Astyanax mexicanus: one gene and its partners. The protein of the gene in region 3 interacts with the protein of the main gene of each other region in a pairwise test. Links are inferred from orthologs where the notes say so. Each region holds a gene or a part of one and is shown on either strand. Other genes may lie near its edges.

The links.
Region 1: the proteins of ralbp1 (region 3) and tsfm interact in binary tests that used the Homo sapiens proteins (3 or more experiments, as listed by UniProt). The two-hybrid records come from large-scale screens. The link is inferred for Astyanax mexicanus from reciprocal best matches to the Homo sapiens genes RALBP1 and TSFM.
Region 2: the proteins of ralbp1 (region 3) and cep57 interact in binary tests that used the Homo sapiens proteins (3 or more experiments, as listed by UniProt). The two-hybrid records come from large-scale screens. The link is inferred for Astyanax mexicanus from reciprocal best matches to the Homo sapiens genes RALBP1 and CEP57.
Region 4: the proteins of ralbp1 (region 3) and reps1 interact in binary tests that used the Homo sapiens proteins (3 or more experiments, as listed by UniProt). The link is inferred for Astyanax mexicanus from reciprocal best matches to the Homo sapiens genes RALBP1 and REPS1.

Annotation. Positions count from the first base shown.
Region 1 is NC_064412.1:16,983,972-16,991,549, reverse strand, and holds the start of tsfm (elongation factor Ts, mitochondrial), read right to left. Parts: upstream 3,019-7,578; 5' UTR 2,960-3,018; coding exon 2,912-2,959; intron 2,710-2,911; coding exon 2,572-2,709; intron 2,487-2,571; coding exon 2,358-2,486; intron 872-2,357; coding exon 755-871; intron 652-754; coding exon 570-651; intron 350-569; coding exon 1-349. Other genes in the region: endou (uridylate-specific endoribonuclease A), read left to right, coding at 6,728-6,794. UniProt on the Homo sapiens protein: Associates with the EF-Tu.GDP complex and induces the exchange of GDP to GTP. It remains bound to the aminoacyl-tRNA.EF-Tu.GTP complex up to the GTP hydrolysis stage on the ribosome.
Region 2 is NC_064425.1:11,086,983-11,094,267, reverse strand, and holds the start of cep57 (centrosomal protein of 57 kDa), read right to left. Parts: upstream 3,004-7,285; 5' UTR 2,845-3,003; coding exon 2,803-2,844; intron 1,859-2,802; coding exon 1,711-1,858; intron 1-1,710. Other genes in the region: endothelin-converting enzyme-like 1, read right to left, coding at 6,344-6,443. UniProt on the Homo sapiens protein: Centrosomal protein which may be required for microtubule attachment to centrosomes. May act by forming ring-like structures around microtubules. Mediates nuclear translocation and mitogenic activity of the internalized growth factor FGF2, but that of FGF1.
Region 3 is NC_064411.1:46,520,206-46,528,212, reverse strand, and holds the start of ralbp1 (ralA-binding protein 1), read right to left. Parts: upstream 3,001-8,007; 5' UTR 2,914-3,000; intron 158-2,913; exon of another isoform or gene 96-157; intron 1-95. UniProt on the Homo sapiens protein: Multifunctional protein that functions as a downstream effector of RALA and RALB. As a GTPase-activating protein/GAP can inactivate CDC42 and RAC1 by stimulating their GTPase activity.
Region 4 is NC_064408.1:82,930,607-82,937,682, reverse strand, and holds the start of reps1 (ralBP1-associated Eps domain-containing protein 1), read left to right. Parts: upstream 1-4,075; 5' UTR 4,076-4,583; coding exon 4,584-4,736; intron 4,737-7,076. UniProt on the Homo sapiens protein: May coordinate the cellular actions of activated EGF receptors and Ral-GTPases.

The DNA of each region.
Region 1 (7,578 bases), on a different chromosome or scaffold from region 3:
AAGTCAAGCACTCGTGCGTTATGCAGAGTGAGGAACTGTCCTACAGTGTATTTGGGCTCTAGCAGGAAGGTCTGTGGTAAAAGCCGTGTCTCAGATTCCCCACAGGGTAGATCTTCCATGTTGCCAAGAGTATCAGGAGCCTCCCCTACTATGTGCTGTCCCAGCTTCTTGCCCAGAAACTCCACCTCTCCCTCAGGCCCCCCCTGGAACACCACCAGAGAGCCATAGCGCCCCATCATCAAACTGCTGGGCCCTGTAACTGGTGAATGCACATATGAGCCAATGTGCCAGTCAGAAGGTATACCTATGGACACAGCTCGCCTTATGGAGATGTTCTCACCCAGTCGGCCTGTGAAGAAAGAGGGGGGGAAACAGAACTAAGCAGGGCAGTGAAGAAAGAGCAGGAGTCAGAGGTGGCAAGGTCTTTTGTAACTTACACGAACACTATAAAAATTACAAGGCAAGAAAAAGCACCTTAGGCAGAGAACAGCATCTATTCCAGTATGTTATTTAGACATTTAGTCCCTGCAGAATGCACATAAACATCACTAAGACCCACTTTTCCTTACCTATGGTCAGAGCCAGCTGATCTGCCAGTGAGGGGCCCTCCACCATAGTGAGCTTAGCAAGGTCTTCAGCAGACAACAGACTCTGTAACAATAATAAAAGTTTAACATGCTCTTTTTAGATGTGCAAGTTAAATTGAATGATAATAAACATTCACACATGCAGATGCTAAGCAGACTGAACATACCTTTCTGTATCCACCTTGTCCCTTGCTGCAATGATGAGCCATTGTAGCCAAAGCAACATCCTGCACCAGCTGCTGAAACTTTTCATTCCTTGCCACAAAGTCAGTCTCACAGTTTACCTAAACCCATAGAGAGGAAAAAAAGTGTTTTCATGGCAACATGCAATGCACCAACTTTCACTTAGTTTAAGCAAGAGTGTGTAAAAATGCAAAAACTACACCACATTTGTTATTTTTCCTTTTATTGATTACAATCAGGTGATTTTTATGTATGAAATAAGACAAAATTTACATTGACTGGCTGTTACTCTGCCTTGAAGGTTTATTTTGTGTGTAAATGGTTTCTGAACTGAATTTAGGTAGACAAATGCATAACTTCGATGTTAATAGCTTTATGAGACATATGATTGAAATTAAATTAAATATGTGCCTGGTTTCTATGTACTGAGTTCACTGATTTAGGAGGTGGTAAATGTAGTTCACTAGGGGCATAGTTTTGCTCATACAAAGAAATAACTATTTTTACACCATTAATGAGCTCAAAGTAGCTTCATACTTCATTGGTATAAATTTGAGGGCCCTGACATTTAAAACAAGGCACTAAAAAGGCACTGAGAGTGCACCTCCACTAAATTAATTTAACTCTGTGTGAGCGGGGAAATAGCAATGTATTAATATCATTTCACATCAAGCACTCGAAGTGAGTGAGAGAATATTTAAGATACTGCTTGAGATACTCACACTTTAAAGGAGAACTCCAGTCTAAAATGGACTTTTGATATAGTAAAACATGATGCAGAGTACTAACCTTTGTTAAATAGCCCACCATCAGTCTCCCGCATCTTTCTGAGATCTAGTAATTTTGTGCTTTTTGCCCAGCACTTTACATTGAACGATTCGGGGCATCCACTTGCCCCTAAAGATAAATCACTTTTTTACACAATTATCCAGGCTCAAAGTAGCTCCACAGTTTATTTATAGAATCCAGGGAGCCCTGACATTGAACATCAGGTATTAAGAACTTTAAAAGCATTTAGAGCATATTGGTAGGATAGTTGAGCAGATTGCAAAATTCATTCCTTGGAAATGCATGAATTCTAGTTGTTACTGAAAATATCTGGTTGCTGTCATATTAGAACGCATAGAACCAACAACAATTTACATAAACACTGCTCTAAATGTTTTAGTATTTGTGCTCGGCAGTTGACTTAATGTGACTTAAATTTAAAATGGTGGTGCCCAGAGAACAGCGGTGTTGAATAAACTTCTAGTGCAGTTTTAAAGTTCTACATGCCTCGATTTAAATCTCAGGGTTCTCCAGATTCTATCCATGAAGCGTGGAGCCTGGATAACGGTGTAAAAAGCGATTTATCATACGCAAGGCATGCCCTGTATCATTTTTTGTAAAAGCCTGTTTGGGCAAAGTGCACAAAATGACTGAATCTCAGAAAGCTGCATGAGAGTGGAGATGGGCTATTCAACGAAGGTTAGTACCCTTTATCATGTTTTTCTACACCAAAAGTCAATTGTACACAGGAGTTCTCCTTTACGCCATGACTAACTTTCTTCAGTGCTGTCTTTTAAATAAGCTGTATTGAATACTGACCTCCACCATGACTGCTGCACTGTCATTCTTCAGAACACCAATCAGCCCCTCCTTGGCTCTCCTGCCCTCCAGCTTGCTCGCTTTGCTCCATCCCTCCTTCTGAGCCTGTTCATGCAGCCAGCTTTCAGCCTGCAGACAAACAGAACATTAAACACATCTAATTTACAGTATACATTAAAAAACGCATAATTTCTGCATTAATCTACCTGCGTACCTGTGCGATGTCGTTGTTGAACTTCTCCAGCGCTTTCTTGCAGTTGATGAAGGTGTAGCCGGTGGCTTTGCGCAGTTTTAGCAGCAGGGCTTTATCCGGACCGCTGTGTAAACACTGAACATGCTGCTGGAAGCAGACCTGGGAGGAACACGGCGAGATATTTCATTACTGAGCTTTAACTTAAAGAGAATAAATAAAGTGTAGAGAGGCAGGTACATGTTAGATAATCGTCAGAGCACACAGTATTAACACGCCTTTAGTATTGTCCAGCCTTCTTTACACTGCTTTCTGTGCGCTCAGTTTAAGTGTACATGTGCTGAAGCTTAATTATCACCCCTACCTTAGTGAGTTCTTTTCTGATAGACCTGAATAAAGTCGATACAGCCATCTCTGTTACCGGTGTGTCATTGAAGCACGCTGAATACGGCAAGCCGAAAGGACACGGTACTTACTCTACAGTGCTCATACACACACTCAGAGCGCCACCTACAGCAGAGGAGCGCCAAAGGGCTGTGTCCCATATCTGCTGCTGTAGTCTACTAGAAACTGTACAAAAATAATAATATATTATAAAAATAAAATATTTCACATTTTATCGTTTACATAAAGTACGATTTTATTATTTTCTGTCTTGGCATTAATTACACATTATACACATAATATTTTTGAAATAAAAAGGTTCCAATCTGTCATTTTTATCTAAATTGATTTATCTAATATATTCTGTTTCCTTTGACGCTATGTAAGGTGTTATGTTTTTCTATAATTACAATTAATTAAATTAAATAAAAATTAAATCAACATATTTTCTGAACAATACTATACGAATAAAGCTTTATCCATTTGTATTGGTTCTATACAGATGTGCTTCTGAGCACAACATGCAAATGCTAACTGACAGCACAACAAAACAATACAGTGTTCATGTACAACACTTTAGACTTGTAATCGTTAGAAAAATGTATTTATTGAACTGAACTCATTACATTTCCAAACATATTAGAGCAAAGCGTGCATGTTTCCATTTCTGTGTCCACAGTAAAGGTGAGAAAAATACTGTAGTACTACTTTACCCGTGAACAGTATAGCAGATTCAGGATGATTGTTAGGAAGGTTACTGCCAAAAAATAAAATGGGCACCAGTGTTGGGAGTAACGGTGTTAAAACTTTTTTTCAGTAACGAGTAATCTAACTAATTACTATGACTGTAACTATAACGCCGTTACCATTTCCGACACCCTGTTACTGCACGTTACTTTAGCCACACTTTTTTTTACTTCGCTTTGCCCTGGTTAACCCCTCCTCTTTCCGGTGAACTTGAGCTTCTGGCCGCTGTGCCTGTGGTTTGGCGTGGTGAAGTGAGGCACATTTGTGACGATTTGCTGCTCTAATCAATTCAGTGATTGCCGTGGACAGCCCAAGTTTCGAATTAAGGACGTTAAACTCTTTTTAGCTGCTCCGGTTTTTGTGGTGCTGCTGCTTTCTCTTTTAGAGCTTAGATTCTCTGCCCGAACCCGACCTGACCCGAGGACCGACCCGAAATCGGGCTCCTATTTTTATTTTATATAAAGCTCTGGTGTGATAATCACAATGTTGCTAAGTAACCAATTATTATTGTTCACTAAAGCGAACGAAATATAAAAAACTTAAAGTGAAAAAAACATTTGTGTTAACTGAATGTAATAAAAACGGTAATTAAAAGGAAAAAACATAACTATCTCGAACTGTATTTTGTGTTTATAAAACTAACTAAAACGAACTGAAATTACTGATAGAATACCCTCATTTTTAGTGTTTAATTTATTTATAAGCGCTGTTGTACAGCGGAGTTGTACAGCGGCGGTGTTGTGCCGAGCGCGCGGCACCTCGTGGTCCGTTAGTTCTTGTGTAAAAATACGACAGAAAACACTAAAAACTGCAGAATTATAGAATTACAATATGAGCGCCAGGCAGATGAAAGAGAAACCGGAGATCACGTAGCTCTGGGCGCACGTGAACGCCTCCGCGTTTAACTTGCAGCACTGTAGCTGTTCTTAAAAATCATTTTAATTAAATAGTAGTTCTATGCTTCTATGTTACAGTGTTATTGAACATAATTCTGATTATGTTTCGCTCATTCAATCAGCCCGAAAACAGACAGTTTATGGGTCGGATCGGGTCGGGCTCATAATGACAGTTCATGGTTCGGGCTCGGGCAGAACGTGCACGGGCTCCGGCTGGGTCGGGTCGGATTTTTTGGGCCCGATCTAAGCACTATTCTCTTTTGGTGAAGCTGTTATATTAATACCATTTTAGCGGTCATTAGATTGTTGTTATTGTCCATTATTTTGTTTTGTATATATATACATATTTCCTTTGAGTGTGGCTTGGTTTGTTTAATTTCATCCCCAGACGCGTTTTTCCGTTTTTTCCGCTTTTTTCAGTATTACAAGTTTTAGTAATTTTCTTTGGTTGTGTGGAGAATTTCGTTTTATTTTTTTTTTAATTCGTTAGATTATATTTTTGTCAACATTTTGGGTTCATTTTCGTTTGTTATTTTTCTAATAATAATAGTAATTGCATAATTGATTTCCCTTTCTTTTTGACGGGTGAATAATAAAAAGTAACGCGATAGTTACTTTTACTGGTAACTAATTACTTTTATAGTGGAGTAGCTCCGTTAATAACTCAGTTACTTTTTTGGAGAAGTAACGAGTAACTATAACTAATTACTTTTTCAAAGTAAGGTGCCCAACACTGATGGGCACATATTGCTATAATAAAATAGTCCACTGGTGGGACACTTCTACATGAAAGGAAAACCTCAGTGTGAAACAGACTTGAGGTGTAGTGAAACATGATAACGAGTACAACATTTTATTCTGAAATACAGTGCTTTTAGCCAAGGCTTCTAACATGCTTACAATGCTAGTGATAGGGGCATAGTGTTGCTCATGCAAAGAAATCTCTATTTTTACATCAGTACACCAGTACACCAGTAACAAGCTCAAAGTGGCTCCACACTTTATTAGTAGAATTCTGAGGACCCTGACATTTAAAACAAAGCATTGAGAATTTAGAAATTGTACTTCCACTTTTTCATTTTGCAATCTGTTTGTGCTCGTCAGTTGATTTATTGTGACTGTATTTCAAGGTGCCCAAAAAATTGTCTGCTGGTTAAGTAACATGGCGGCATTTTTGCAGTGCAACAATAATAATTATGCATCTAAATGTAATACTGCCATTATAAGAGCCACAATATTTAACTGCTAGTGTATAATATCATAACAGGGTTATATGTTTAAAGAAGAGTTAAAGTTCATGTTGAAATGATCACTTTATGGTGTTGTTACAAGAGTAGAAAAGTGCTACACATAAAACTAATAAACTGTAAGTAAATGGTAAAACACCACGGAACTTTCCTTCCTTATTGTTTCCGTTGAAAGGTTGCAGTTTAAGAAATGTAAGTACATTCACACAATAATTGACTAAATTGACATTCTATATTATTTATATTATTACATTATTACCCTTGCCATTTGTGAGTGTAAGTAATTTAGGGTAATTTAACCTAAATTATAACTTTAATAAACTATTTATATAAACCATTTATAAAAGGTAGTCTTAGTGAGTGCTACCAACAATAAATACGATAATAGATCTTCCATATAGTATAATCTTCTCTGGTTTGTCTGTAATGGAAATCTGTTGAGGTTAATCTGCACAGGTCTCTCTCTCTCTCTCATCCTGTATGACGCTGTTCCTGTCTCAGTGGGAAGAGCACCAGGTGGCTTCTGAAAGAGTCTAAAAGTGCATGTTTAAATCTCGTGCACTTGCCTATAGAGAATAATATTTACAGCAAGTTAACCGTGTGAAACTGACAGACTGGGAGGAAGTGAAGCTGAGATGAGACTTATATAGAAAAAAGAAATGAAAGTCTATCACAATAGATTTACCTTTAATCAGGTTTTTTCTTGGTTACACATAAGCATATGTTGGAGCTACTGTAGAGTTCCATCTGCTCCACATGGACTGCTGAACTTTCAGAGCTGCACTTGTGATTGGATGGTAAAACATATAGGAGGAGCCTGTAAGGTGTGAAGGGCAATTCAGGCTGGTATAAAGACTGGGTGAAGACCTCTTACTGGGTGCTTTCCAGTCAGCATCTGTGTCTGTGATGAAGAGGATGAGGATCACTGTGCTCCTTGCTTTCACTCTCACCCTGATCTCTCAGGGTTACAGCAGTAAGTTAAGAAATATTTCAGTCTATCAGATGAGTGAGTGAGATGAGTACTTTTACTTATTCAGACTGCTGTAACCTTTGTTTGTATTGATTATTTATATTATTGTAGTTATTTTGCATTATTTGTCCTTTCAAATGCAAGGGCCTATATATAAGCGCACCTCTTTTATTCCTTCATTTAATAACTAATAACTTACGTTTTACAGCATGAAGAAAAGCAGTGACCAAGAAAAACAAAATGTAATAGACAGTTGAATTGTATGACAGTAAAATAACTATGAGATTTTTTTAATTTAGTTCAGCAAACTGTTACAAATAATAAATTAAGCTGTAAGTGATTGTAATAGAAAAAAGTGTTTTCATTTTCATTCACCAAAAAATTTGATTTGTATGTGATAAAATACTAATTATTATTACTTACTTACAACAGACACTGCTCTACTGCTCAGGGATTAACTCAATTCTAAAAATAATAATTTTATTCTCAATTCATTTTCATTGCCAGCATATCCAATTCCAATCCAAAAGTACCAACTGGTATTGATTTTGTAATTTTAATAATATTACACTCATGTGATTTATTTGTGTATAAAGTCTAGAATTATTGCATATTCTGTTACAGTTACAAAGTCTGGCCGGCAAAACCGTATCTACCATTTTTTACATTTTGACATAATTTGAATTTGATGTTTTAATGGATAAATAGTAATGCTCCAAAATTACTAAATTCAACCTTTTTAACTGACCTCCATTCTTTTTTTCATCTCATGTAAAGTTGCCATTTT
Region 2 (7,285 bases), on a different chromosome or scaffold from region 3:
GGGAATACAACAACACACCAGTGTACACATACGTCCACTGAATGTTAAAGGCTTGGGTGTATCCAGTTTTGCATAAAGGTGTGAATAAATAAGGACACCCCACAGAAACACATTTGAAAATATAGATATTTGACCTTCAGTACTAGTCAAAAGTTTGGACACATCTTCTAAGCCAGTGATTTTCTTTATTTAATGTATTTTCTACATTGTAGATTAATATTAAAGACATGAAAACAATCAAAGGACAAGTTTTTTTTTGCAATTACGAAGTAAACAGTAAAAAAAGTATTAGTTATTAATTATAATCAGCTGCAAATCATTAGAGCATGGTTAGAGGAGCTTTTATAGGAGGATGTCTTATTCATAGGGATGCACAATATATGGACATAACCGCAATAACTTTTGCTGACTTCAATTTTAACAAATGTGTACAGTTTTTGGAAAAAAAGCCCATTAATGTGAACAGGCTTGTATATCAATTTCAGAAAAAAGCAGTGTTTTATTTTATTTGTTTTATTTTATGCTATTTAAGCATTTTATATTACAATTTAATTTTAAATGTGTGAAGATTCTTAATGATTATGAGTTTGATGCTTTTAAAAAATTATATGTAAATGTATTATTATGCCATCGTATTATCATTATATCAGTAACATAAAACAATCTTAAAATAAAAATAGTATAATTTATCCCAAAGATTTCTGGGTCAATATATTGTAAATTTATTGAGTAAAGTATTATTTATTGAATAAAGTAAATAACATAAAAAAAATTATGTACCATATTTTTGCATTGAGCAACACTACTAAGTACACTTCTAAGGATATCTACATCAAAATGAGCAATGTTTTCCAGACATAATCAGTGTATGGATTCCAACACAGGATAAACGCAGGATACACCACTGGGAGCTGCTGGATCCCATAGGCAAAGTGCAGAACCTCCTTGTAGAACTCCCATAGGTGGCGCAGGCAGGAAGCATTCCACACAAATAAGCCCAGCGATTCAATATTACACACATTATCAGCTACCAATATCATGTTAAGACTTGTTATTATTTAAATAAAAGCATAGCTATATATACTTTAACAGGTAATATAGGGTACAATATCTTCCAAAAATCAACAGCGCCCCTTATGTATGAAGACAGGTATTAAGGAGCGGTAAAACCACTCCGCTGAAGTACAGCGTTATAAGGGTGAGTTTTCAGTGAACTTTCTCCAGCACTAAGGCTGGATGCAGCAGCTTTAGCATTAGCCACTAACCACAGTGCTAGCTCTTTTGCCCTTCAGAAGTGAGTATATTGGACGGTAGTCTGTGTGTTTGCCATGTTAAAACAAGCTACGTGGAACAAACCGCTAGCTGAAAGCACTCTGGGTTTCGTAACACTTAAGGTTCCTCAGTCTAGCATTCTAGTTAGCAACTAATGCTAATGCTGCTGCACCCAGCATTAGTGCTGGAGAAACTTCACTGAAAACTCACCCTGATAACTCTGTTCTTCAGCAGAGTGGCTCTACTGCTCCTTAATACCAGACTGGTAGAACTCATGCATAAGGTGCACTGTCGGTTTTTTTGAGAACCACTGAAAACTCACAGTTAGACAACATATTGGAAATCAGCCATGCATATTTGGTCGAAAATGGCTTTGTGTGTGTTGCTTACATTAACTTCACTCATTAAAATAAAATAATTTAAGTGTGTATGTTTTACCTCCGCTGCTGCTCTCTGGAAAGGCTTTAACAGGTCTACGAGGTAAGTGTGTGTTGATGAAGGGTCGGCCAGCAGGGTACTCAGCATAGGAGGTCAGGGACGCGCTGTCAGACATCGCCCTGCCTCTAGAGGGCGCAGGCAGCACCTCCTACACACAGAACACACAAAGGGTCACACAATAAAGCCTTAGATACAGAACAGACTGGATATATTACACTACACCAATGTGTTTTTACTATTTTGTTTTTTTTTTTTTAGAAAATCTGAACCAATATAGAGCTACACTACTTTTGTTATTTAAGATATTTGACATACTTATTCTGGGATACTAAGTCATTATTTGAAGATTTTGTTGCAGACATATTACCTCAAATAGACGACTTAGATTAGCTAGGTTAAAATATTTTAATATAACGACTTAGCATCTCAAAATAACCTCTTACCATCCCATAAAACTACTTAACATCCTAAATAACGACTTAGTATCTTAAAATAACATTTTAATGTCCCAAAAACAACTTATCACAAATAATGACTTAGCATCTCAAAATATCGACTTAATATCCCTAAATAACGACTTAGCATCTCAAAATAATGACTTACTATTCCAAATAACGAATTGGTATCTTAAAATCACGACTTAATATCCCAAATAACTCAAAATAACGACGTATATCACCAAAAAACTACTTAATATCTTAAAATAACGACGTAGCATCTTGAAATGTTACTTTAGGTGGTTGTAATGGGCTTCTATATTTAGCTAAATATAATTAAAAGCTGTTTAAATATTAGATAACGCTGATATATTTAGTTGGAGCTCATCTTTAGTTGAGCTGTCAGTTTGTTCCTGGTGGAAGAAAACTGTTAACGCTAGCGTGGCCAGTTAACTCATTAACAGCCTGTGTAACAGTTATATTTACCTGAGGACTGGGGGTAATATATAACTGGTGTAATACAGTATAAACAGGTGAATTTGGGTCTGGTTGCGGGGCTGCAGGTCAGTGTTAGTAACGCTGAGAGAGGAGCTGTAGTTGTGGGCGGTTCAGGAGGATAACTCTACCGCCGGATCCGTTTCCCGGGTTTTATTACCTTCTCTCGGTGTGGAGCCGCAGGTTTAGCCGCAGGGTCCATCACTCCGCGCTCAGCGTTCACTTCTGCAGCCCGGGTTCAGTCTCCTCCTCATTATTCACACTTTATACACCACCAAACACTCACCAACACACTACTACACCAAACAACCGCCTACCGCCATACACCGAACCGCTCAACCAGCTAAAACACAAGCGTAAAAGTCCCCCTTTCAAAATAAAAGCCCTCACTTTAAAACACGCACTCTTATTTATCCTATAGTAGCCAGGTATTAATAATATTAAGCACTAAACACTCGGTTTAGATAATATAATATTAAATATATGTTATAATATATATGCTATAAAATATGTTAAAATGTTATGTTAAAAAATAATAATAAAAAACAAGAGTAGTTTCAGTGTTTTAATTAGATCAACTTAGATCATTTTTAAATGATTTAGATAAAATAATACTAAATATATGTTATAATATATATGCTATAATATATGTTGTTATAATGTTAAACAAATAAATACATAAATAAATAAATAAACATGAGTGGTTTTAATGTTTTAATTAGAGCATCTTAGATCATTTTAAATTGAGGTAAAACTTTTTATTATTTATTATTTTTTAAAGGGGACACTCATACACAAAATAGCCTTAATAACATACATGGTTTAACTACTGTACATATACTAGTCCACTCAAAAAAATATTAGAATATCATTGAAAAGTTACGTTATTTCTGTAATTCAGTTCAAAATGTGAAACTAATATATTATAAACATATATTACACACAAAGTGATCTGTTTTAACAAACATTTTCAAACTTGATCTAAGGATGGAGTCAGCTAAAATCGGGGGGCATTAATTACCTTATAAGGTCATTGAACTAAAACACACAAAGAATCACACCCCACATGAACCAGGTTTTTATGACCTTCATTTGTTTATTGAAAAATTAACAAAGTTCACCATTTCCAGCATCCATTCTAAACCTCGGTGGATGTTAATATGTAATTCAGTCTGTAAATTCTGGTGATGGTATCAGACACTTTGCGGTAAACATGCTTTATAAGACAGATATATATATTTATGCATATATTTATAATGACCTCTTTCTCATATACCTTGTCCTTACAAAGTAGCTTGTCTTTTTTAATGTAGTCACTTCATATAAAATTAAACATTTTTATCATAATAGTAAATTTCTTAAATACCTGGCCTCCAGCAGTCTGTGATTATATACATATCTGTTTGTCTGTAACTTTTTTTTTTTTTAGCTTTTTTTTTTTAACACAGAATGTCAGGAAAAAAAATCTTGCATTAAAAATCAGCTTTCGAATCACGTCACACAGAGATGAGTAATAAAAGTTGAGGCCTTTATGTTATTCAGGGAAAATCTGAGTTCGCCGTTCGTGACATTCCAACCTATTCGTTCTCAAACTGTCTGTCATGTTCTCAGAATAGTACTAGAAAGTTGTGAATGCCATATGAACTGAAGTATTGTAGGGCTGTCCTGAAATAATATGGCCATAGTACAAGTTACATGGGGCTTTCTTCAAAAATCATGCGTACAATTGTTCATTCGTTCCAACATCTCGACACAAATCCCACTTAAAAACACACACAAATACAGTTTGAACAATCCAAAAAGGCCAAGACACAACTGACACACAGGCAACAGTGGCAGCTGCTGTTCTTCACCAAACCAGAAGGGGGCGCTAAATGCATTGCATTTTCCAGTGGCATAAAAACTGGAAAACGTCTTTAAATGTCTTTAATTTATGTTATTTGGCAACATACTTTATAGTTTGTCCCCCCAACACTCATACATACACACACGCACACATACTCTTATTCGTTCAGGGTCTGCATTACCTCCAGACCAGGCAACTCAAACATGACGTTACTAAGAGCATTATAAATTAGGAATGCTATGCATAAAAATAGAAAAATAAATAAATTTACTTTTTTTTTTCAAATGTAGAAAAAATAAAGTTTGAGCTAAAATATGCAGTATGATGAGCCCAAAAAAAAGCAGCACTGAACAAACTTAAACAACATTGTATGCAAGATATAAGATAATATAATAAAATGATTTGGGTAGGTAAATAAAGGCCCATGGCTAAAGCAGTTACTGTATCTTTGGGCAGGTTGTTTTGTATAAGTGAAGATGGGGGGGAGTGAGGAATGGGAATGTTTATCTGCGCTCCACTGTACTTTTGTACTTTTGTAATTGAAAAAAAAAGGTTTGCTGCCAGATCCAATGATTTTGATCTTGATCTTGCTTCACATGTTTTCCAGATACTTGTTTTGCATTCTTTACATTTGCAATACATCCACCAAAGGGCAGTTTAGAGTAGCAATGGGCCAATTCTCTATTTTTTCAATTCCAATGCGATTCCGATACTGTCGACAGCGATACACATTTCAATACAAGAGCTCTACTCTAAATAATACAAAAAGAACACCTTGCATGGCTCGAAATGTGAAAAAGGCATGTTTTAATTCACTCAATTAATCATGGGTGTGGTTAATTTTGAGTGTAATGTAAAATAAAGCAATCATCACATCACTTGCCATTCCCTTAAGAGCTCTGACTTTGGTGGACTGCTATTTTAACAGCGCCGCTACCTGGATATTTTCAATGAGGAAACTGAGCTGCACTTTCACACGGTGTTTTCCATTGCCAAGATAGACCATTGGAGATAAATGTACAAGCTATGTTGCTATTTAAACAACATAGTTGTAAAGTTATTACATTATACAGGGTTCATACACTTTAAAACAAATACATTTCCATTATTTTTTCATGACTTTTCCATGCCTTCAAGGAAAATTTCATGACCATACGATTTTTAAAACAATCAAAATTGATTATAGTAAGCATAAAATGAATCTGACACAACTTTTTAAATAATAAAATGTGTGTCAAATCCTGAGAGCTCCATTGTGTAGGCTTTAATTACTGAATTAACTCTGAGCTGATGTATTTGTAGCTCAAAATAGATTTTCTCCATCGATAAACTCAAAGATTTGTAGACCAAATTTCCATGACTTTTTTTAAACTTTCATGACTGTATAAACTCTGATTGTAAACTCTCTTTTTCTCTTTTCACATTTTATAAGTTGTTCAAATGCAGCTTCTTCTTGTGTAGTTTGGGTAAATTTTGTGTGTTTAGAGAAAGAATCAGCACTGATGACTGGTGCAGCAAACTGATTTAACATGAAGTATTTTTATGTTTATGACAGTTAATCGAGAGTCCGAGTCGTGTCTGTATGATGGAACGCAGCATTAGTATTAGAATGGTGAGGGCAGTGTATAAAAGCTGATGGGAGATGGAGTGAGATTTGTTAAATTGCTGTTTGGTGGAACTAGTTTTTCTCTTTAAGTCTCTCCAAAGGCAGAAGGAACTGAAATCGATTGGGTCCGCTGATACCAGAGCTCGTTCCGCAGCTGCTTGATAACGTCAGTGTTTCTCCTGGTTGTGGCAGCGATGTTGAGGACAGACAAACAGAGCAGAGCAAATGAAAAAAGAAGCATGACCAAGGTCACCAGACGGAGCATTTGTTGGCAGGATGCATAGGTGAGCCCTTCGGACAGTGGAACACTCGGCCAAACTCGTCAAACTGAGACACGCTGCCGATGACCCTGCAGAGAGATTATACAGCTTCTTTAATTACAATAAAACATACAGGTGATTAGAAAAATGTGGATCTATAGATTGCCATTACAAAAAAGAAAAAACACTAAGACTAAAAAACAAAGACTATAAAACAAACGAAGGACTAATAAGAAGTCTAATAAACAAACTTGGCAGACAAAAGTACAGCAAGACTGTGGCTCAAACAAACAGCAATCAAACATCTAGGGCCCTATTTTAGTGACCTATAGCGCAGCGGTCAATTGCGGATTGTGCAGCTGGATTTAGGGCGTGTCAGTGTGTCTTTGGTATTGTGAGGGCGCAAAAAGGCATGAACTAATTCTCTTAATTAATCATGGGTGTGTTTTGGACATAACATGAAATAAACTAATCAGTGTAGGGAAGTCTTCATTCCCTTTAAGAGGCAGCTGCACTCTGACCTTGGCACGTTCATATCTTAACAACGCTGCACTTTTGCGTGTCTCAGCAGAGGATACTGATCTGTGTGTTCATGCTGTGAAAGTACGCCAGCAGCTCATTTAAGGGAACCGTGATGTTATTTTATTCTTTATTTTGTTTATTGTTGAGTTAAAAGTTGGGTGGTGCAGCGCATCTGTGTGTGTTTTTAACGAGTGGGGTTGTATGTGTGCTGGAGACACACAACGAGCACAGTGCCCCTGGATGGCTAACATAAAATTGGGCGGCTGAGTGTTGACTGTTGTGAATTTATTCAGTCAGTGGAGCACCTGTGTGTTCCACCGCTAGATATTTACTTGAACACACCTCACTTCCAAACCATTACGCCCATCAGTGTAGATACATTCCTAAACTAAGAAGCTATTTTAACTGC
Region 3 (8,007 bases):
GCAAAGAAAACAAGTTCATATTCATAAAGTTTTAAGAGTTCAGAAATCAATATTTGGTGGAATAACCCTGGTTTTTATTCAGAGTTTTCATGCACCTTGGGATGTTCTCCTCCACCAGTCTTACACACTGCTTTTGGAAAACTTTATGCCACTCCTGCTGCAGAAATAAAATATAATATAAATATAAATGCATTATAAAATAACACAAACTGAAAAAAAATAGAATATTATACCATGATTTTGAAGGTGTTATAAATGTTAGAAAAAGTAAAAGAACCTATTAGTTTATATTCTACTAAACCTGCCAACTGAATGTTATTAAATGTATGAAAATAGCCTAAAGAACTTAAGAATGTCCAAAAATGCCAATACCCTATTGAAACTAAAAGTTCACTATGACATTTCTAATAAACCTCTCAACATTACCAAATATGTGTCAGATAATCTGTTTAATGTGTAAGTTCTAGGGGTGGGCAATATTATATTGTATACAATATATCGTGACACAGAAATATCATGATATTGTAAGTCCATATCGTGAAAATAGGGATGGTTTGTCTTAAAAGTAGTCCATTATTTACTGTGAAGCTTTAAGTGTATTTATTGTATAATTGTTTTAGTTTATAGTTTTAGTTTGCAGTTTATATGCATGAAAATATTCTGCAATATTTTTTGCTGCATTATATTATTTTATGCTATATTATTTATTTTGCCACATTACGATATACTCTTAAACTATTATACTATATTCCTAAAATTAATGAATTATTTTTCTGTTTTCCTATATTGCCAAATATATCGTTATCGCAAAAATATCCTGAAATAACGTCATATTAATTTAGAGCCATATCGCCCACCCCTAGTAAGTTCTACCCAGTTCTGACCCCAGTGGCAGCTGATGTGTCCTCACTGGACACAACAAATGGTGTGTTTTGGAAACCCTCATGTTCTGTCACATGACAGACCTCAGAAGGCTTAGTCACCCTTTCTCTACCCATATTCTCTTTTTGTGTTTCCCAAAAGACATCAGTGTAATCATTTAATATACTCAACACTGAAAATAACATATCGACTCTGTCCAAAACAGAAATTTTACATAAGATAGATTCCAATGGAGGTGAATGTAAAGTTTAAGTTTATTTCAGGTCATGTTGGAAAATTTCTATTGGCTCATTTATTAAGAAATTTGGCACAGTTTATGTGTTCAAATTATGTAATAACATAAAAATCACCAAAATGCAGATACTTGTTTTACATTGGACAGAGATGACCTATACTCTATACTGTATAATGCCTGTACTGTCTCTGTGCTAAATTGTGTAGAAGTAAACTAGGCCCTTACATGTAAATGGTGAGGACAAAGTTACACCTTCTTTAAAAATATGTCTTCCGTCTGTATTGCACAAAAGATTTCAGCTCATTTTCCCATTTTTCACCGAAACAAGCATCGCATTTGGCAACCACATTTTAGGGAACAAATTTATAATAAATGCATTCATGTGTTCTGTTGAATAAATGAAATTTCCAAATAATTTAACTTGTTACATCGAATAAAAAAAAAGTCAAATCATCTGGTCAAAAATCAAGCAACCAACACAAAGTCACCTGTTCTATGTAAATGCAGCAAACACGTGAGCAGTATGGAAGCATTTAAAGTGTCAGACAATGACCCATGTCAGATAATAATTTTATTATGTGCCCCTTCACTGTTTTCATGCCTTTAATATTAACGTATAATGTAGGAAATAAATTAAAGAAACAAAAAAGAAAAAAACATTGAATGAGAAGGTGTGTCCAAAGTTTTGGCTAGTACTGTAGGACAGGGGTGTCCAAAGTGCGGCCCGTTTTCTTTTTTGGAGCGGCCCTCGAGGTATTTTAGAAATAGAATGAAAGTTGGCCCGCTGTTAAGCAGGTTTTTATAATGTGAGATTCAAAGTTTGAACGCTAAAGAGTCTAAAAGTGGAGAGGGTGCGCATTTCTAGCGCAGAAAAACGGGCCAGAGTCTAAAAGTGGAGAGAGTGCACATTTCTAGCTCAGAAAAACGGGGTACAGATTCTAAAAGCGGAGAGGGTGCGCATTTCTAGCACAGAAAAACGGACCAAAGAGTCTAAAAGTTGCTGTAATTAAGGAGTTTAATATTAAGAGACATCATGAAATTAAACATCAATTTGAAAAAATCTTAGTTTACACAACACTGTCAAAGATAAAGATAGTTAGTCAAGTAAAATGGTGTGTAAATGAAAATAATGAGGAAAATTTATTATTTAAAGAGGTATATTTCATTATTTGTTTTATTAAACAGTGTGGCCCGTGACTTCAAATATATTTCTCCTTCTGGCCCCCAACAAAAAAAAGTTTGGACACCCCTGCTGTAGGATAACAGAAATAAAAAATAACTAGCTCAGTATAAAAATATGTTATCTAACTTAGCTGTACAAAACTGTGTAAATTGTGTATAAGCTCCTGACAGTCACATATACAGTCATTTTAACTATATAAGCTAAGTAACTAGTTTCCTCTGATAACACTGCTAACACTGGCTAATTCCTTTAATTACTCCTATAGGAGTGTATGGCTTTATTTTAATCTTATGGAGGATTCACTTTAAGCTCTGTATTCTATTTTAAACACACATTTAGAGTAATTAAATACTTAACGTTACTTATTTAGCTAGCTGAAGCTAACACACCTAACTAACACAGGCTATCTATCCGGTTAGCAGTAAAGCTGCAGCAGCGCTAGCACTGTTAGCCTGAGCAGCGCGGATTAGGCTTTTACAGCGGGGCAGAAGCTCCCAGCTAACCGGCCGCGGGCTCGACAGTTCAGCGCTCTAATAAATAAACACATTAAATACCAGCTTCAGCTAAAATCAGCACATAAAACACGATAAATACAGCTTTAATTTAAACTAACCTGCTCGGGTGGCTCCACAGCGCTGCTTCCCGTTGACTTGTTTACGTGCCCGACAGGAACGTCAGTCTGCGTAAAAGGTGGACACGCTCAGACTTCTGGGAGATGTAGTCAGTTTCTGCAGCTAGAGCCAAACACGCACTACACTATAAAATCTGACTAATTAGTTAAAGAGCCACTAAACCCTAAACCATATTTTCATTTCATTAATAACTGAAATGTGTTCCTTTAAAGTATTGAAACATATCAGTCCTGCTTAAAATGATTACAAACATTTCCTAACATTAAAAAAAAAAAATTTATTGTGGTAATTCTGCCTCTGCAGCACCTTCTCAGGATCAACTGTGCTGTAGACGTGGATGATGTTTCTGTGTACTTTGGTACACATCACAATGTGTGCTCAGCTCGCTTCTGTAGTCACTAAATACTGAAATCATACTGAACAGTTGGACTGATGGGACAGTTTGCCCAGCCAGCATGCACATGTGTGGCTCACATGGGTGAAACATGGGCTATAAGCGTTTTTTTTTTTACTACTGTGCAGTGTATAGGCCACATGTGCAGTGTATAGCCCACATGGGGCCCATATTTATTGTCTTCTGGTCCCATTACTGACCCTAATGGGGTCCTTCACTATCTGGTTTCCTGTTGGGTAACCCATACGGGCCACACATGGGCGTGTTATCTACGTAGTGTTGGTTATCCAAATTGAGGGGTTCTCAACCCATTTAAACATACATATGCATGAAAAATGTTATTACAATAAAATGAAATATCACTTTTCCAAAAAATAAATAAGGCCACAAAATATTTTACTCCTCTGCTTATATATATATATATATATATATATATATATATATATATATATATATATATATATATATATATATATATATATATATATATATATATATAAGCAGAGGAGTAAAATATTTTGTGGCCTTATTTATTTTTTGGAAAAGTGATATTTCATTTTATATATATGTTTTACAAGCTGTCCATGACCCGCCAAGAACGTGTCTGTGACCTACCAGTTGAGAATAGCTGACCTAATGTATATCTACATAGGTGCTTACATAGGAAAAGTTTCCTAGGTGTTAAAAATATCTTTACATTTTTTACAATGCAGAAAATTACTGGTTACCAAACTTATTTGGACGAAAATAGCATTGTTTTAAGTCCTATTTCAGTGTTTTCTCCAGCAGAGAAATGGAGGAGGCAAACTCTACTGTAGAATCAATTGCAGCACCACTCTTTGAGATAATGAGGCATGTAAAAAAAGATTTTCATTCTAAACAATCAACAGCACATTTAATTCCACCTGTTTAATCAGTTGATCAGTCGTCAAACAGCTGATGACATCAATTGATGATATGCTTAAGCTTGGCTGTAATAAAAACCTGCAGGCACACTGGCTAGATTTTAGATTTTAAATAAGGTGCTATCTCCAGCCTCCCTCCTCCTTCTGTTACTGCCAGCAGATGGAAGCACTGAGCCATAAATGTGGCCTGTTACAGCCTGCTGAATGAATATAGCCAAGGGTGACCAATCCAATCTGCAAAAGGCTGATGTGGCTGCAGATCTTCATTCCAGACAAGCAGCAGAAGACCTCACACACACACACCTCATATAATGATGACCTGCAGCCACACCGGCCGTATCAGATAATACGAGAACCTTGATAGTGAGGTAAAAACTCAAACAAACTGCAGAATAGATCTAACCCAAAATGATTAGAGTCAGTATTACAACCCCAGTTCCACAAATCTTGGGACACTGTTAAATGTAGAACATAGAACACATATCAGTGTTAAAACTGACACATTCTACCATTTCATGAACAACATTAGACCATGTAGAGCTGAATGGAAAACACTAAGATCTCCAAAAAGTTGGGAAAATGCTCCAAAATGCTTGAAAAGTATATGGCACTTTTAAATCACAGAGAGCAAGGTACAGCAGGCCAAGAGTCAGTATTGGATGCTGGTGATCTTCAGGCCCTCAGCTGGCATTGCATTAAACCCCCCGCCCCTGTACTGAGTCTTTCCTGGAAATCACTACATGGGCTCAGGTACACTTCCAGTAATTACTGTCTGTCTGTGAACACAGTTCACCATGCAATCTAGTAATGCAATTAAAGCTGCATCATTAAAAAGAAGAAGTCATGGGTCACCTTGATCCATAAACAGTGCCATCTTCTCTGCCAGTATGCCAAAGCATATTTAAAATGGGCAGATTAACCAAAATTGTACATATTTAAAAAGGACTTTGACCTAGAGAAGATGGCAGAGTTTCTGCATTATCTTATCATTTGGTTTCCTCTTTGCCTTTATGTTGCTCCATCCCAATTTTTTTGGTTCATAAGTTCAAAAAGAGTTTATGATTTTATTAAATTGGCAAAATGTGTCTCTTTCAATATCGACGTGCATCTCAGAATTTTGAATATCATTGAAACATTACTTTATTTCAGTAATTAAGTTTGTGAATGTGAAACTCATATATTATATTGATGTATTTTATTGTTGATGATTATGGCTTACAGCCCATAAAAACCCAAACATCAGTGTCCCAAAAAATTAGAATATTATAATTATAAGACCAATTGGTACTTTTAGCAATGTGGGCAGTGTGCCAAGTCCTGCTGGAAAATGAAATCTGGATGAAGTGCTGTAAGATGCACCTGTAAAATGTGTATGTAATGTTCTATTGTAAATAACATTCTATTAAATATGCAAAATCATTGCATTTTGCAGATTCTTTTTACATTTATTTACACCTTACACAACATCCCAACTTTTTTGTAACTGGGTTTGTAGTACTAGTACTCTAAGATGCTTTGTTACAGACCCAGGTACAGAAAAAAGGCTCCTCGGCCTAGATTCCATTCATAGATATCGCTTCATAAACAGAAGATAACGTGTATTTACAGAGAGCATTGTGTTCCCATGCTGTTCTTTCATTTCTGCACAATCACAGTGATGATTCAGCCCCAGGCGTATCTCAGAGCTCTTAATGAGCCTCCTTAAGATAAGATACGACTATGACTTCACCATGTGTTATGATGGGTCATCATCAAATAAATCAGTTCAAGCTGATTATTTTAATTCAACGCGAGTCAGAAACCAATATCAGATAATGATCACCTTTATAATGCTTACTGACGCACGCTCTCATTTAGGCCTTTCATTTTAGAGAGAGAACAAACATGCAGGCCGCTGTTTTATTTATTTATTTAGTAAAGGAATAGCATCGGAAATGATTTGGCTTGCTTTCTTATGAACAAATTATATTACATTATTCTAAAATTATATTTAATGGGTTAAATCTCTTGCAGAACACAAATTTCATGTGAAAAACTGATCTACTATCAGAAGGAAATGGGGTTAGTAGATCAGTAGTGATCAGTAGATTTTGTGCATAAGTGCAGGTGATTAGTTTATGAGAAAAAAAAACTTTAGAAAATAGGCTGATTTTTTTCACATTTTATGAATTTAGACTTTAGACTAAATAATGCTAAAAGTATAATTTTTTATTCAGTGCTCTTTGTTTTATAATCTATTTAAGTGGCAAAAGAGATGACCCAGAAATGCATGCTTACCAGGTTATGGCTTGTCAAATAATCTACACAAATATAATTAATAAAAATATATAAAATACAAAAATCACCTTGAACCAGTCATATCCATAAGTTATATTAAAAGTACATTTTCAACATTTTATTTTAATATAATAGTTATTCGGTTTAAAAAAAAGGCTTTTAATTTATGAGGAAAATTAACATGTCCACATTTTAGATATATATTTACATCAGATATATTGTTCATATCTGACGAAAGCTATCACAACACCATTTATATGACTGGAAATACCACAGTTCTATATCACAGTAATATATGAATCAAAAACTGTACAATATTATATTACATATATAATATTTATATTCCATTACATTATTATAAGCTACACTGGCAGTTCAGAAGTCATGGGATGTCAGTATGTAAACTGATCATGAAGAAGTACCCTAGGTGACAGCTTGGGATATACTGTAAGTTGTGAGGTGTTATCTTGTAAGAAAGGTTGAACATTGGCCAAGGTGCTCATGGCAAGGCAATTTCCACAGTGTCGATCCACAGTGTCACAAGGTATGTGTATCTGGAATATTTCACAGAAGGCATTAATATCATCCACAGTGACAGAACAGTGGGTAATAATGATCGTGATTGGCTGCATCTGGCTAGAATTGTCCACACAAACAGTAACTGACAAGCAAAATCACTCCACATTCAATGCAAGAGACCTCACATCAGATCTTGCAGGTCAGTGCAATGTTCTTTATCTTGGCAAAAGTCACGGGACATGATATTAGTTTCTATACTATTTTGGCATGTCAGTGTGTACAATCACGAAATCCTCATTTTGTTTCATCCTAAATTGCTTCAGTAAAAAAGTGAATAATAATAAAACTGGTATTGCTTCATAACTCTTGTGTGCAATAGTTGCAGTAGATTGCTGACCTGTTTGTGCAATACACCCCACACTGCCCTTATTAGTCTTGCCCGGGCTGATAAAAAAAATAAAGTTATAAAGATAAAAATTCCCCGAGCCCTAAAGCCACCGTATTCATGTTTTCCCTGTCTAGGTGCTCAAAGAGTGGTGGAGACTCAGTGTTTTTGTTTATGCTAAGAGTCTGAGATTCTTCACTTTTGAAGTTAAAGCTGAAAATATATTGATTTTTGAGGTCCAATGTCTTAAAAGCAGAGCCCTGTCTGTATAAAACCCTGGCATAAGATTGTGCAAATGAGTTGAAGAAATAAACAAACTTTGTTGTTTTCTGTTCCTCACAGGTCAGAGCCTAAGAAAGAGGTCTGCAGTGTCTTCAGGACACAGAGACATGTCCAAACACTGATAGAAAATAGAAATACAATGTAATACTATAAAAAGCGTATGTTTCTAATGATCTTTTATAAACTTATTTAGTATCTGGTGACCGGACAGGCCAAGAGAGTATTGCAATCTTCTGAAGACATTTCTGGGAAACCCTTGCTGTGTGTGAGTGAGCATTATCCTGCTGAAAGAATGAGGCAACACATGGATGAA
Region 4 (7,076 bases), on a different chromosome or scaffold from region 3:
GAGGAACTAGTATTGTGTCCTATGGCTCTTGCCGTGCACCATGCAAGCTAAAAAATGTGTGTGGGTCTCCTATATTAAGTGTGGATGTTAAATTCTGTCAATGTTATTTGCTTGTTTACACCGAAAATTCTAGCCAGACGCCACCAGTTACATTCATCAACAACGGCACTGTCCAATGTGGGTGGTAATGCCTTCTATGACACACTCCTGGTGCACATGTGATGGTAGACTGTGGATTGACAAATGTTAAATGATCACACATATTTAGAAATAGTATGTCTCATTAGTCTGGAACTTACCAAGCATTGTTAAAACTTCACGATGCCTTGCCATGAGCATGCTGACCAGTGCCCCTGTTGAGAATTACTGCCAACAGAATAGGAGGAGAATAAAGCCCTACAGCATTGAGCTTGAGTGGAATGAGAGTACTCATCCAGAACTTTTGGGATGAGTTACGGAGTTGGGGATGAGATGAGGTGGTGATCATCCAACAGCCTGGCCTCACTAACACGAAACATCTTGGAATTTAATTAAATTCTTACAGCAATGCTTCAAAATTTAGTATAAAGCCTTCTCTGGACAGTAGAGAAAGCAGGATAAACGTAAAAAGCTCCTTTTAAATACCATTGATTTCAGAAGAAACAATGACAGTTCAAAGAATTTAAATCTGGGGAACCAGAATAGACCTCTTTGTTGTTTCTGCTAAAGAACAGGCAGGAGCCAAGAAACTGGGAGGCAGATGGGATGCATCCCCCTCAATAATCAAATGTAAAAATATAAGATACTTTGTGATATACATTTTGACACACAGATACAATACAATACACTATTTGTGCCAGATTTGAAAAAAAAAAATACATATTTCTAATCTAAAACAATTGTAGATTATCATTATTTTAATATTTAACTCAAATATATTTAGTTAATCAACATTTTCAGCACCAAATACACTTCATTTGTGCCTATATATATTTACATATACATAATAGGTTAGATTACTGCTAAAGCAAAACAGTGGTGTTCATGAGAAATATAAATGTATGAGCATATGCATTATAGACTGTGTACAATAAAGCATATAGTGACGTGCAACGTGCAACTCTTGTTGTCCTGAATTTATTGCACAGCTGGATTTAAAAGAATACTGTATACATATTAATTAAATTCTGTAAGAATATTAATTCAGCACTGCAGGTGTTTATTCCCATAAGGAATGTTGCTGTGGAGCCTATTTTATGATACCAAATAATCTATTTAAATAATAGATTACAGACGATTTTATTCGATTATTTAAAACACTCTGAACATTTAAGATACTTACTGAACCCTAGTTCAGTTTCATACAGTGTGAAAATTCTGTCGTATGTAATTATGTTATGGATGAAACACTGATATTCATTTAGTCGAGTTTCAGCGTCAGCGTTTCAGTCGCCAATTAAAGTGAACCCATGGGCAGCAGCGCCCTCTTCTGGAGATTCACAGGTTTATTAAGGATAACTCTTATTTCTTTGATAACACGTCTATTTTTAGTAGCTACGTTATTTGCATATACTAGTCTTTCAAATATTAAAATATATATATTAAAAACCCGCAGTGCCAGTCAAAATTTTGGACACAACTTTAATTCAGTTTTTTTTTATTATTATTAAATTTTAATTCTGCATTATAGTTAAGAAGTCAACCAAACTATGAAAAAAATCCATATGGAATTATTAAGTAAACCAAAAGTGTTAAACACACCAGAATATAGATTATATATTAGGTTCTTCAAAGTAGCAAGATAAATACTTTAATTTCTTGTCCTCTTAATGTGTCTGAGAGCATCAGTTTTAAAGTTGTGAAGAGGTAGAGTTAATATACAGTAAATAAGCTCTATTTGAGTAATGTCCTTATTCATATTATTGCCAGAACTACTCACCTAAGTAAAATAAAGAATACGAAGAAAAAATGAAGGTCGGTCCATCCAAAAAAAAATCCAAAACTTTGAAAGTATCCACAAGTGCAATCACAAAGATGATCAAAGATCAGTTCATTAGTTTCCAGCCTCAGAAACAGCAAGTTAACAGCACATCAGATAAAAGCCCACCTAAATGTATTTTGAGTATTTCGGTTTGTTTAACACTGTTAACGGTTTACACCTTGATTCCTTTTGTGTTTCTTTATTGTCAGTGTTCATTTACATTGTAAGAAAATAAAAACTTTGAATGAGGAGATGTGTCCAAACTTTTGACCAGTGCTGAACATTTTCCGTGTTTTGTGAAGCCATCTAGTGGACCTTGCCCAATATTGCAGTCTGGTAGCATTTTGTCACGTGGACAAAATTGTTGGTACCCCCTTGGTAATGAAAGAAAAAAACACAATGGTCGCAGAAATAACTTGAATCTGACAAAAGTAATAATTAAAAATCTATAGAAATGAACTAATGGAAGTCACACATTGCTTTTCAACCATGCTTCAACTAAATTAAACTCATTAAACAGGCCTGGACAGAAATGATGGCTCTGCGGAAAATAACAGGTGTCTTCAATCTTGAAATCAGTCGGTGAGCCTATATATAGGGCTATAGACATAGTGGTTAATTTAAGAATGTGTCACATTTTTAAAATGCAATAATAACTAATACCAACGCATTCAGTTTGTGCAATAATCACAGTCTAAAATCATGCCGTTTAATATGATTTTTTAACAGCTGACTAAATCGTGGCTACACTACTGCTTGTCTTGTGGGTTAGGCATATCTATTTTGAAAGTTAAAAAGACCTGAAACTGTTTTTACTACACTATAATGTAGAACTGGTTAACTACTGTCTCTACCTAATTTGTAATTGGTCTGTCTGACACATTTGGCCTTCGGTTTGCTGGTTAAATTCCAGCCAATGGGAGCGCTCACTTGGCTGTATCTATGTAAACTTCACTGAGGAAAAGAATCCTCATTGGACATTTTTCCTTTTGGCGGTTCAAAGGCTTAACCATTTTGTTGCCAACCAAAATTGAACAAAGTAAAACAATAATTATTGTCCATGAAAATAATAAATACAAGCATAATTTGTTTTAACATTTAACATTAAACTTTGGTAAATGATTAACTATCAGTCAAAGAATTATTACTATCTGGTGGTATGTTAGATTTTTAGAAGCTACTCATGAACACTAGTCAAATCTCTTTAATGGCTTGGTCTCATCTATACATAAAAACAGATAAGTACAGGATACAAATGATATCTTTTGATGACAAAAACGTTATTTCCAGAGCATTCATAGTTTTAACCAAAGTCAAGCTATACCCGTAACCAAGCTCAGCCTGGACTCAACCCAAATGCACTGTGCCGAGTCCACACCTGAGCACAAACTGCAGTTCAGTACATAAGAACACGTTTACCAAGTCTGATTAAAGTTCTTAAAGTTCTGATTAAAGTTCTTAAAAACATATCCAATGCTGGTAGTGTAGCTCTTTAACCAGCATTTTTTCTGGATGAAGCTGGTCTTGAGCTGGGTTTTTTAGCAGGGGAGGAAAGAAATATAGTACTCTAGTTGTCAAATCTTATTTTATTTGATACAAACAGCTGTTTTATTCTGTTATGTCATGTGATTTTTTTGTTTGTTTTGCGTCCTTGGTATTGAGAAACTACTCAAGTGAATGCCAAGTGCCCGAATCGACCATGCTGGCTGGGAAAATCACCTCACACGTTTAAGCTCTGAAGAGAACTTGAAGGCAGAATAACAAGATTAGATTTAAACAAATATATATATATATATATTTCATTTCAGGCTTGAAATTTTAAATTAAAATTAAGATTATTAAGATATAACTTTCTTTATCCTAAACGGATTTTTTTTTGTTAGAATAACACAAAGTGAATTATTACATAAAAAGCTAGAGTAAAAATACCTAAAAGATAAACAATACACTGTGAAAAATCAGTTCACAGATCAGATACCATAATAAATGCACTTCTAACGGCGGTGTACCATTTCACAACTCACTAACTGCTATAATGCGAGCAATGTGTCGATTTGAGACACAGCCCTTTACCGTTGGCCCGTCATCCGGGTCCTTCGTCCTGCTGATGACTGCGCGGTGACGTCGGGGGGCTCAGGAATGGCGGCGCTGCTGAGGGAAGGAGCTCGAAACTTTACTAACAAACAGATCCGCGCATTTCTCTCCAGAGCCGACGCCTGCGCAGGCCGCTCGCTCCGCCGCTAGAAAACGAGCTCCCCGGTGAGAAGAGCGGAGTGCGAACCGCTGAGCGGCGGCGGGAGGCTGATAGTAATAGGACCGAGCCCGTCCGCGGATCCAGGAGTTTGATTAGCTGTTAGCCTGCCGTTAGCCTGTCGCTGCTAATGAGCTAACGGGCAGCCTCGGCAGCGCAGCGGAGACTAACGGGGACAGAGAGGCAGGAACAGCGCGGCTCTGCGGTCCGTACATTTCACCCGGGCGGGTCTGGAGTGAGCTGAGTAGCCGGGGGAGTAGAACTCGTCTTCAGTGGTGTGTTTTGGTCCGGGTCTGGTTCCGCTAGGCTGAGTTCTGGGACACCGCTCCGCTCTCTCTCTGTCGGTCTCCTGTAGTTCAGCTGTATGCCACCATGGAGAGTCTGACCCTGACCGATGTGGAGCAGAAATACTACTCGGATCTGTTCATCTACTGCGATGTGGACAACACCAAGAAAGTGGCCTCCAACGGGAAAGTGCTCGACCTTTTCCGGGCGGCCCAGCTCTCCAACGACGTGGTGCTGCAGGTGCAAGTTCCGCAGACTCACTGTCTCATACACACACACACAGCTTAAGAGCTAGCAGTGTCTCTCAGCCCTGCTCCTGCTCCTGGAGGCCCACTGCCCTCACAACATTAGTGCTTTTCCTCATATGAACACTTGCTAGCTAACCTAACACACCCACCTTAATAATAACCCCTACTGACAGGCTGTGAATCAGTTGATTAGCTAGATCAAGTTGGGTTAGGTGTGTGCTGAGAGCAGGGAAAACACTAGCTAGCTTACTAGCTAACTTAATGAACACTAGCTAAAAAGTGTAGGCTGTATTTTTTTTAAAGGACATTGGCTTAAGTATACTGCTAACTAACTGTAAAACCTTGCTTTTCGATGTTTTAACCCCTTAACAGGCCAGGATTTTTGTCAGTTTTCTGCGTGACATTAAGTTACACCCCTAAATCTTGAGGATTTCTATTCAATCATTACATAAAAAGCTTTCATGATCGATAAAGAACATTACTGAAAGGCAAAATTGTTATTGTAATAGAAAGTATAAAAACATATTTAAGTAAATCTGCTAATGTCAAACTATAATGTATACAATTATAAAATTGTCTCTGTACTGAACTTCATATTAAAATAATATTTTCCTGAATACAAATTAAACAGTTTATGTCCTCCAAACCTTCAGTTTCGTTATTTTTGTGTAGTATTTACGTCTATTTTCAAACATGCAGAATTTAGTTCGATTCCTGTTAATGATCTGTAATTCTTAAGTAGAGAGAAAATAAGCAGCTTTTCCAAATGTCCCATAGGATATTTTTAAATCTCTCAAATTTTCAGAATGTAAATAAGTTATTTTACTGCAGAAAAAAAGGTTTTTATCACCTACATCTGTAGCCTGTATACTCGTCAAGGCATGTTAAGGGGTTAATAGGTTGATTTAAATGTTGTGTCAGTTTTGAGGAATGCCAGTATAGCATTAGCTTTAAAAGGGACTGACTTGCTGGCTAGATGTAATGACAAGACTGGCTCCCCAAAAAAATCTAAGCTAGCTGATTGACTGACACAGGAGCCCAGGATCACTAGTCTATCGACTAAAGACGTGTTTGGGATCTGAAGTGTGTATATTTAAGGTGTTTAAAGTAGCTACAGGAGCTGTCGGATTAATGCGGGGTAGCAAAACGCAGTGCAAATCTATTTTGTGACAGAATTCAGGGTCAAAATGCAGCAAATCTCTCCCTATTCATTGACTACATTAGAGAAAGTTGAACAATGTGTTAATATGATATTTTTAATGTTTTAACCTTTCATCCCTTAGACTGAAGTATGATATTTAGTTAATGCTCTTGACTAATGTGCCCAAGGACTCCTCTTTTTCCAGAACAGCAGTTAAGCCTGGTCTTAGACTGTATTTTTCTTTTAATACAAAATACCATTTTAAATGCTGTGTAGTCTAAAACTAGTCTTAATCCCTGTCTGGGAAATTGCTAGTTGTTGGTGTAATGTGGTGTGTTTTCATGGCCATGGAATCAAATCATAGTTATTGAAATTAAAGCATTTTTGTTACCCACCCTGCAACACCAACCACATTAACTAACTGTTAGTTAATGTTGCTAGAAAGTGTTACTGCTGCAGATAACACAAATGTTGTAAATAACCCAAATAATAAATGTTTCTAATGGCACACTTTGTTACATTCAGCAAAATCAAAGTAATTTTGCACTTACATTTGCCTATATACAATTTAAATAGATATGAATTTCTTTCTATAGAGAATATGATAACTTGCTTGCAGAAAATAAACAAACCCGTTTCACCAAGGTTGCCTAAACCTTCGCATGAGGCTTTAGCTCAGAGTAAGCTTTCTGGCAGGCTTGATAGCTTTGCAGTGCTGATAATATCTCAATACTGTTACAGCTGGTTAACCACACTTATGATAATTCCAGCTATGCTAGACATATCACACAGATCTCACAGCGAGCTTAGACATCTACAGTGTATTGTATAAACAAGCAAAGTCCGTTTGTGGCCAAACATGGGCCCAAATAAAATAGTTTATATCTGGCTGATAGAAGGATGTTGAATAATGCCTGAAAGCTTAGACACAAACAAATATGTTAACATTTAACTCCATGTTTTTGTGGGTGGTCCAGAATAATATCTTTATGGTAAGAGTTGATTAAATAAAGTAGCAGGTATTCCAGGTTTCCAACTTAATCACACTTTTATACCCACTGTTATATACCATCAACAATAGAAATCAGATTTACCTTTACTTTTTACTGTTACAGGTTTTTGTCTATGTATTAATTTATAATACACTTGTTACACTTGAAAATAGACATACACTGTTATAGGAGTTGTAAC